Sus scrofa: one gene and its partner. The protein of the gene in region 1 purifies or fractionates together with the protein of each later gene. This does not show direct contact. Links are inferred from orthologs where the notes say so. Each region holds a gene or a part of one and is shown in the gene's direction. Other genes may lie near its edges.

Evidence for each region. Proteins that work in one complex are often made in the same cells at the same time.
Region 2: the proteins of SMARCB1 (region 1) and H2AFZ purify together in Homo sapiens (affinity purification with mass spectrometry; 3 studies listed by BioGRID and IntAct, with this or other methods). This does not show direct contact. The link is inferred for Sus scrofa from reciprocal best matches to the Homo sapiens genes SMARCB1 and H2AZ1.

The regions. Positions count from the first base shown.
Region 1 is NC_010456.5:49,898,863-49,903,226, reverse strand, and holds part of SMARCB1 (SWI/SNF-related matrix-associated actin-dependent regulator of chromatin subfamily B member 1), read left to right. Parts: intron 1-1,355; coding exon 1,356-1,494; intron 1,495-2,916; coding exon 2,917-3,046; intron 3,047-4,364.
Region 2 is NC_010450.4:120,561,779-120,566,770, forward strand, and holds H2AFZ (histone H2A.Z), read left to right. Parts: upstream 1-1,973; 5' UTR 1,974-2,158; coding exon 2,159-2,161; intron 2,162-2,604; coding exon 2,605-2,682; intron 2,683-2,964; coding exon 2,965-3,078; intron 3,079-3,416; coding exon 3,417-3,546; intron 3,547-3,823; coding exon 3,824-3,885; 3' UTR 3,886-4,245; downstream 4,246-4,992. UniProt on the Homo sapiens protein: Variant histone H2A which replaces conventional H2A in a subset of nucleosomes. Nucleosomes wrap and compact DNA into chromatin, limiting DNA accessibility to the cellular machineries which require DNA as a template.

The DNA.
Region 1 (4,364 bases):
GAGTCAGTGTCTTTTCAAAAACCTAATGGAAACTCTATGTTTACCCTTGGATGGTAACGACACTCAAGCCAATGACTCGAGTGGGTCTGTGCCTGCAGTGTGGAGCACGCGTGACCCCATGGCCACATTCTCCCACACTGTTTGGCAGCTCTGGTTGTCCATCATGTAGATCTTTTATTCCTGGAGAATGCAGAAACTTTTAAATAGTAAACATACTATATTGGGGTAGGTAAATGAGAAAATAGTGGAAGTGGTCCTTGTGGGGTGAACTTCACAGTAAATAAATATTTGACCCATGAGTAAGAAGACTTGGGAAAGGGAAGTGATTTTCAGTCACAGGTGGAGCCAGCGCCCATTCCCCTGCCACGTGACTCAGAAATGACCATGTGATGTTTTTTTGAAAAGTCAGTGAAACAATGAGGTTTTCTGGAGTTCCCGTCATGGCGCAGTGGTTAACGAATCCGACTAGGATCCATGAGGTTGCGGGTTCGGTCCCTGCCCTTGCTCAGTGGGTTAACGATACAGCGTTGCCGTGAGCTGTGCTGTAGGTCGCAGACTCGGCTTGGATCCTGCTTTGCTGTGGCTCTGGCGTAGGCTGGCAGCTACAGCTCCGATTAGACCCCTAGCCTGGGAACCTCCATATGCCGCAGGAGTGGCCCAAAGAAATAGCAAAAAGACAAAAAAAACAAAACAAAACAATGAGGTTTTCTTTATAAAAACTTCAGGGCTAGATCTCTTTTCATCAAGTAAGTCATATGTTGAGTATTTGGGACAGGCAAACTGAAGCCATTGTTTGGGGTGGTAATGATTTATATAGCAATCTAGTGATTGCTGATAAGTGCTTTTTAAACTCTTTGGAAAATTCTTTGGCCTTTCTGGTTTGAGTTTTGTTACTAAACAAAGCTACAAGGGCCATGGGGAAAATTATCCTGCATCTGTCTAAAATTAAAGGCCCTTTTTGGTCTTTATTACATCGTAAAAATATCAAAGTCATGTTCTTAAGATAAAAGAAAGTCAGAGGGCCTTACATTTCTGTAAAGTGCCAGAGATCCTTAGTCCAAAATCAGCATCATCCCTGCTTCTCTGTGAGCTTCGGGTCCTTTCTGAACTTGGTTGGGTGGTGGGGATGCAGATGTTATTCCCCTGCCAGAGGGGCAGATGTGGGCCAGATCAGAACTTATGTTGAGTTGAGCCCTTGGTGTCAGCAGGATATGTTTTTACTACAGCTGGAAGCCTGGCGCCTGGGGGCCAATTTGCAGTCTGTTTGTCAGTGGTCCAACAGAGCCTCTGCACCCGGATCGTCCCTTTTGGCCCCTGTGCGACCCTTATAATGAGCCTTCTTGCTTTACTCATAGGTGGGAAACTACCTCCGTATGTTCCGAGGTTCTCTGTACAAGAGATACCCCTCGCTCTGGAGGCGACTAGCCACTGTGGAAGAGAGGAAGAAAATAGTTGCATCGTCACATGGTAAAAAAACAAAACCTAACACTAAGGGTGCGTCTTCACGAGGGTTTGTAAACCTGTTTCAAAACCACTCGCTTCTATCATGAAGATAAAACGTTTTCACTCCAGCGTGTCTTGGGGCGGGATCCTGGGGTGGGCCCGGGTCAGGTGGTCTCTGCCGAGGCTGGGAGCAGAGGGCGTGGGGTGCAGGGGGCGGGGCCGGGAGGTGAAGACACGTTGGTCTCAAAACGTTTTAGGAATGCTGTGATGCTCTGCCGCCGCCTCTCCGCGGTGCGTCGCCAGCCATCGTCACTCTCCATGCGGCCTGAGCGGGAGCGGCAGGGGCCGCCCCAGCCCCCGCCGCCCTCCGGGCTTTCACCGCTTCGCTTCCCAATGCACGTCCGTCCGTAGTAGCGTAGTACCTTGTTCTGCCAGCCGTTCCCCTAGCGCGCGCGTGTGCATGTTGCCTGAGAGCCTGGGGCGCTGGGGCTTCTAGCCGGCGGCGAAGGGTGCTCCCCAGGCCTCTGGTGGGGGGCAAAGCTGCTGTGCGCGTACCCCCGCCCCTTGGAGTCCCCGCATGCCTGTGTGCTTTCCCCGTGAGTGAGTGTGCTTTGCAGTCTGTCCCGTCGGGCTGTGTCTTGTTTGTAGGCGCTGCTGTGGTCTTTTCCACAGCAAAATAGCGTTCTTTTAATGCAGGAGCCGGAGCTGCTTCCCCCCCCCCCACCCCCGCTGCTATAACATTTCACTTGCGCTTTAAAAAGTCTCCCTTTGTCCTCTCCTGCCCCAATGGAGTTCCAATCACCCCTGCAGTGAGCCCCCAGCTGTGCTCCCCTCTGCCAGCCTCTTTCCAAGGAAATCTTGGCCACCCTTCTGCCTCGTGTTTTTGAGACACCTTCCCTGTAACCGATTTATTCCTCCAGGCCACTCTCTCAGCCAGGCTCCATAGGAGAGCTGGGGGTCCAGTGGCCTAGAACTGGCTGCTTCCCAGATGGCTGGCATTGACTGGACCAGGGAATTCCTGTTTGGTGTGAGGCAGTTCTTTCACTCTCTGGGCTCTTGCTTTAAAAGAACTGTGTTTTTCATCTCTCATTCCATCTCCACCTTGCTTGTGTCCTGGACTGCAGTGGTGTCAGACCTCTTCCCACTGGTGGTGTCGCTCTGGAGCCTTCCATGGCCCCGAGGGGCCCCGCTGGCGGAGCCGCACTGTAGCTGCCGCTGCCTGTGCACTTCTCTGTGCCTGGGGCCAGTGCTTCCGGGACACCTTAGTCCACGTCCATCCTAAGGGAGTGCTGACTCGCGAAAGCATGCTAGGGTCCAGACTGCCCTTTTGGAAGAGGCCAGCATCGGCAGTAGTGAGGTTGACGCCTGCTTGTCCCACCTCCTGCACGTGAGGACCTCGGTGTGCTGCATCTCCTGGCTGTTACTGCCCGCTGCCTGCCAGCAGGGTGACCACAGCTGCGTCTCTGGTTGCAGATCATGGATACACAACCCTGGCCACCAGCGTGACTCTGTTAAAAGCCTCCGAGGTGGAAGAGATCCTGGACGGCAACGATGAGAAGTACAAGGCCGTGTCTATCAGCACCGAGCCCCCAACCTACCTCAGGTATCACACCCCCAGCCGGAGCCCACTCTCAAAACACCCGTGGGAATTTTTCTCATAGGCTGCAACCACCATATTTTTTAGTGCTTTACCCACTGTGCTTACATATCGTCTTAGGGTTTCCAAGTTTTCTCTGTCTTTGGAGTTTCTAAGAACTGTAAACCAAGTCTTAGGGTCTGAAGAGTCATTGAGAATTTGGGACCCACCTGTCAGAGAAATTAGTGACCCAGGTAAACTCACAAAATAAATAATAGGTTTTGAATCTATAAACTTAGATCCCTTGAGGAATTCCTTGGTGGCTCAGCAGGTTGAGGACCCAGCATTGTCACTGCTGTAGCACATGTTCAATTCCTGGCCCAGGAACTGCTGCATGCAGGGGGCATGGCCAAAAGAAAAACCAAAAAAAAAAAAAAAAAAACCAAAAAAAACCCCAAAGCTTAGATCCTTGAAAGAGTATTTACAGTAACGATTATTAAATAGGCAAGTAATTGGGAAGTTACTACATTGTAGAAAGAGGTTTTTCATCCAGATTTATAAGAAAAACTTGGATGTCCCAATTGATAAATTAGAGTTCCCGTCGTGGCGCAGTGGTTAACGAACCCGACTAGGAACCATGAGGTTGCGGGTTCGATCCCTGCCCTTGCTCAGTGGGTTAACGATCCAGCGTTGCCGTGAGCTGTGGTGTAGGTCGCAGACGCGGCTCTGATCCAGCGTTGCTGTGGCTCTGGCGTAGGCCAGCGGCTATAGCTCCGATTCGACCCCTAGCCTGGGAACCTCCATATGCCGCAGGAGCGGCCCAAGAAAATGGCAAAAGACAAAAAAAAAAACCCCCAAAAAACAAAACAAAACAAAAAACCCAAAACCAATTGATAAATTGATAAAAGGGACCACACTGAAGTACATAGACAGGGATAAACAAACACAGGGAACGATGTTTGTTGTAGTGTGTAATTTTATTTTATTTTACTTTTGCTTTTTAGGGCCGCACCCTCAGCAGATGGAAGTTCCCGGGCTAGGGGTCGAATCAGAGCTGCAGCCGCCAGACTATACCACAGCCACAGTAACGCCAGATCTGAGCCACGTCTGCGACCTATACCACAGCTCACAGCAACGCACCAGATCCCCAACACACTGAGTGAGGCCAGGGATCAAACCTGCATTGTATGGATACTGGTCGGATTTGTTGCCGCTGAGCCACAATGGAAACTCCCCCTGTGTATTTTTTTTTTGTCTTTTTAGGGCTGTACCCGTGGCATATGGAGGTTCACAGGCTAGGGGTCAAGTCAGAGCTGCAGCTGCTGGCCTAGACCACAGCCACAGC
Region 2 (4,992 bases), on another chromosome or scaffold:
ATGAATCTAACTAGGAACCATGAGGTTGTGGGTTTGATCCCTGGCCTCACTCAGTAGGTTAAGGATCTGGTGTTGCCATGAGCTGTGGTGTAGATTGCAGACGCAGCTTGATCCTGCATTGCTGTGACTGTGGCATAGGCCGGCAGCTGTAGCTCCGATTTGCCCCCTAGCCTGGGAACCTCCATATGCGGCGTGGCTGCAGCCCTAAAAAGCAATATCAATTAATCAATCAATCAAAAACATTTATGTTAAAAATGTAAGGTAGGGATTATTATGGATGTGGATTTACGATTTAGGTGGAGGGATGACTTATAAAATACTAATATAGGTGAAATATTATTTGGGAAAACAATATCAACACAGAGTCCCTCCCTCTACCCAGCAAATCCTAAAGATCAATAATAGATAATGAAAGGATAATATAAGACCCTAATTTTTTTTCCCTTTTTTGCCTTTTAGGGCTGCACTCAGGGCATACAGAAGTTCCCAAGTTAGGGGTGGAATCAGAGATGCAGCTGCCAGCCTACACCACAGTCACAGCCATGCAGGATCCCAGCCACGCATGCCATCTAGTCCACAGCTCAGGGCAACCAAGGATCCTTAACTCACTGAGTGAGGCCGGGAATTGAACTCGCGTCCTCGTGGATACTAGCTGGGTTCTTTAGCGCCAAGCCACAACAGGAACTCCCAATTTTTTAATTTTAAAATTAACAGCAAATTTCCAAAAAAACTTGATAAAACTTTCAGATTGAAACCCAAACTACAGTACTAAAGAGTATATATTTCAAATTTTCTTAATGTCAGAAATACTGAATTATGTTTATAACGTAATTACTGTTAAAACTCCAAGTATGAAAGATTTGGATCACTACTGTCTCCAAGCAGCTGGACGTGTACAGAGGTGCTATTAATCTATTAGTTGGAAAATTAAGTAGCTGGCATTATGATAGTACTGTGTGTACAGTACTATTTTTTTAAGCCCATCATTTGCATTTGATTACATGGACCATCTGTAACTGCCTGTGAATCATATGAGGACATTTACCGAACATTTGTCAAGTAGCAAAATGTTTAGCATAGAAGAGTTGACACATAATAGCCTTCATGTTTCACTAAATCAACTTTAGAAGCCAGGCTATAGGTACAACCCACAGACGTGTAGTCTTTAGAAAAATATGATTTGATTAAAGAATACCGCCTCAGCCCAAGCCTTCAGTGGGTAGACCAAAAGGTCTTTTATGACCAGCGAGGTGACTTTGCTTCACCGTCTTTTCCATGAAACTGTTCTGTTGGGGTTGGGGAGGTAGGGGGTTCAAAAAGTCCTGAGAAAAGAAGAGGAAGGAGATACAGCTGAAAAAGTGGGAGCAGAGGGTCGTGATGAATCGGTGGCTGGGCACTTGCCTAGGAGGAACAAACGCGAAATCACTACCCAGACTATGGTTAGCGAAGGAGTCGGGGCGCCTTTCACTGGACGCCTTCGCGCCACCTGTCAGACCGGAGGTGTCAACGGGAATGCAGGGGGGTCGGTGAAGGTACCCCGTGCTCCGGAAGAAGGCTGCGGACAGGCGGGTCTCTGCCCGCCAGGTGTTCTAACGGGGCGGAGGCGGAGGGAGGGCAGGGCAGGAAGGAGGGAGTGCTAGTCCCCGCTTTCCGAGGTCTCTGGAACCGAGCAAGGAGGCAAAGGTGGAATAGGGGGCAGCTACTGCGTGCCCCTCCCCTGAGCCTCTCAGCTCCTCCCTCCAGGCACGTGACTAAGCCGGCGGGTGCCCTGCTCAAGCAGCGTAGCTCGCTCTGTTTCTTCCCTCCCGCCGCTGTGCCCTTCTTCTCCCGGGTTCCCATCCCTCCGTTCTCCCCCACCTCCTTCTCATGCCCCAATAACAGCTCGAGCTGCAAAGCGCCCGCCCCTCCGCCCTTTTCTTCGCTTGCTCATTGGCTGAGACTTCAAGGACGCGGCCCGAGGGCGGGTGGCAGCCATTGGTGGGATGAGCAATCCGAGTTCCCGGATGAGGGAACATTCTGCAGTATAAAGGGAGCGGGGAAGGCGGGAGACAGCGCAGTTTGAATCGCGGTGCGACGGAGGAGTAGGCGGCGGGATCTCGCTTGGTGACTGACTAGTCCTTTCTCTGCCTTGCTTGTTTGAGCTTCAGCAGAATTCGAAATGGTAAACTTCGCGGAGGCGCTCGAAGACTACGCGGGTTTTTGCCGGCAGGAGAAAAACCCGTTACACACGGAGATGGGGGTGAAGCGGTGACGGTTGGGAACGCGCGGAGAGAGGATGTGGAAGAGCGGGGGGAGGTGTTTTGTCGGCGGCGAGCGGAGCAGCCTCCGATCTCGCGGCGGGCGGCGACGGTTGGGTGGCGCGCGCAGCGCCGCTGGGAGCCGGAGGGCGGTGAGCGGGCGGCCTGAAGCGCGCGGCCGCGGCGGGCGCGCAGCGGGGGGCAGGCGGGCGGGGTCGCCCTTGCGGCGCGCGGCGGGCCGGAGACCCCGGCTGGGCACCGGGCCCCGCTCGCGCCCGGGCCGCCCCGCGGTGGGGGAGGGGCGCGCCGCCTTGGTAATCCTGTATTCTGCGTTCCTTCTTCGCTCGCGGGCGTGTGCGCGCCGCAGGCTGGCGGTAAGGCTGGGAAGGACTCCGGAAAGGCCAAGACAAAGGCGGTTTCCCGCTCGCAGAGAGCCGGTTTGCAGGTCAGTGGGGGTTTCTGCTGTCTGGGAATCGCGGCGTTTTTCTCTCCTTTTTCTCTGTTTATCATTGCACTAGATGAGCTTTTGGTCTTTGCGTGGTGATGGTGTCGGGACTTGGTTTACCGATACAATAAATATTGGGGAAGGGGGGGCGATCACGTGTGGCGATGCTAGGGCGCGTTGCTGCATCAGCCTCCGTGCCCCTTGCTTTGGCGCGCGTATAATTTGACCATTTTTGGCTCCTCTATCTTTGTGCATTTGTGTTTGTGTATGCGAAAAATGAAGTTTCCGGTGGGCCGTATTCATCGACACCTGAAATCTAGGACGACCAGCCATGGACGTGTGGGCGCGACTGCCGCTGTGTACAGCGCAGCCATCCTGGAGTACCTCACCGCAGAGGTAAATGGGTGTACGCCTGTAATCTGGAAAAGGTGGTGGGGGGAGGCGGTGAGAGGGAAGGAGGAAAGTGATGCAAGAAAACTCCCAGGCTCTGAACGCGGTGAGAAGCTTCTGACAACGCTAGAGGGGGCTGGTGTTCATTTTGGGTTCCTCCTGAGCTTGAGTTGACTGCTTTAGGAAATAAAATTGCGTGTCCCCTTTATAGCTTTTGCATATCTTGCCATTCAGGTAGTGGGGGGAGACGGCAGTTGGTAGATACACGTTCACGAAGGTTTGATTCTTCTGGATCTTGATCCTAAGGAAAGTTGGCAGGAGATTGATTAGATTCTGTCTTCTAGGTACTTGAATTGGCAGGAAATGCATCAAAAGACTTGAAGGTAAAGCGTATTACTCCTCGTCACTTGCAACTTGCTATTCGTGGAGATGAAGAATTGGATTCTCTCATCAAGGCTACAATCGCTGGTGGTGGTATGTAAATACTAAAAATTTTTTAATTTCTTTAGATAATTCTTTACTTTTTTCCCCCACTAGAAGAGGACACTTAGTGTTATTTTCAGTGATCTGTAGTATGGTTGCATCATGAAAATTGATTCCTGTATATAACTTAGTGAATTTTTACTTCTGCATACTCTGGCCTCACATTTAAAGACTTCTTCGAAGTTGAACGTTAAACTGTCATGGTTTTGAAGTCCTGTGTTAATTTTCAAAATAATGTATATTTAAAAGTATCCCTTTCCTCCCCTAGGTGTCATTCCACACATCCACAAATCTCTCATTGGGAAGAAAGGACAACAGAAGACTGTCTAAAGGATGCCTGGATTCCTTATTATCTCAGGACTCTAAATACTCTAACAGCTGTCCAGTGTTGGTGATTCCAATGGACTGTATCTCTGTGAAAAACACAATTTTGCCTTTTTGTAATTCTATTTGAGCAAGTTGGAAGTTTAATTAGCTTTCCAACCAACCAAATTTCTGCATTCGAGTCTTAACCATATTTAAGTGTTACTGTGGCTTCAAAGAAGCTATTGATTCTGAAGTAGTGGGTTTTGATTGAGTTGACTGTTTTTAAAAAACTGTTTGGATTTTAATTGTGATGCAGAAGTTATAGTAACAAACATTTGGTTTTGTACAGACATTATTTCCACTTCGGTGGATAAGCTCAATAAAGGTCATATCCCAAACTAGTTGTGTATTAAATTCACTTGATTATGATGGGAACAACTTTTGTTTTGAATAACTATCTTATCCAGCAATAACTTAATAAGCACGTTTCTTACCTTGAAATTAAAATGTTAATTTTGTAGATCAACAAACCTCGAAGGCTAAAGCATATATATATTTTTTAATGCTATGAGATGAACTATTAAAGATTTTAAAACTTCAGTAGGAGCTTGGAACTGGACAAGGTGATGTTTTTTAGGTTAAATTTGATCATCTCAATTTGTCGCTGCACTTGCTGTTTGTGACAGCAGCACTACATCCAGAGCACTGTCATGGACTGGGGCAGGTAGGGAAGTTCTGTATATTGCTACCTCCACAGAAGGTACTTTCAGTATAAACAGTGAAGTGTTTCCTGTGTTCTCCCACTGTTTCAAAGGCTACCTGGATTAAACTGTTCAGTATGCACCATCTAATCCCGTTTTTACAGAAAAGAATCAAGGTTGGAGTTCCCCTGTGGAATAGCAGATTAAAGGTCCCGTGTTGTCACTGCAGGGGCTCCAGTGGCTGCTGTGGTGGGGGTTTGGTCACTGCCCTGGGGAACTTCTACATGCCTTGGACTCACCAAAAAAGAATCAGGGTTTCTCTGAAAGTCCTGAGTTGATCATATTTGCTGTCATGGCTGTCTTTACTGAACATTGTATGAAACGATTATTTTGTGGTTAAGTTGATTGGATCGTTTTGACATGACACTTG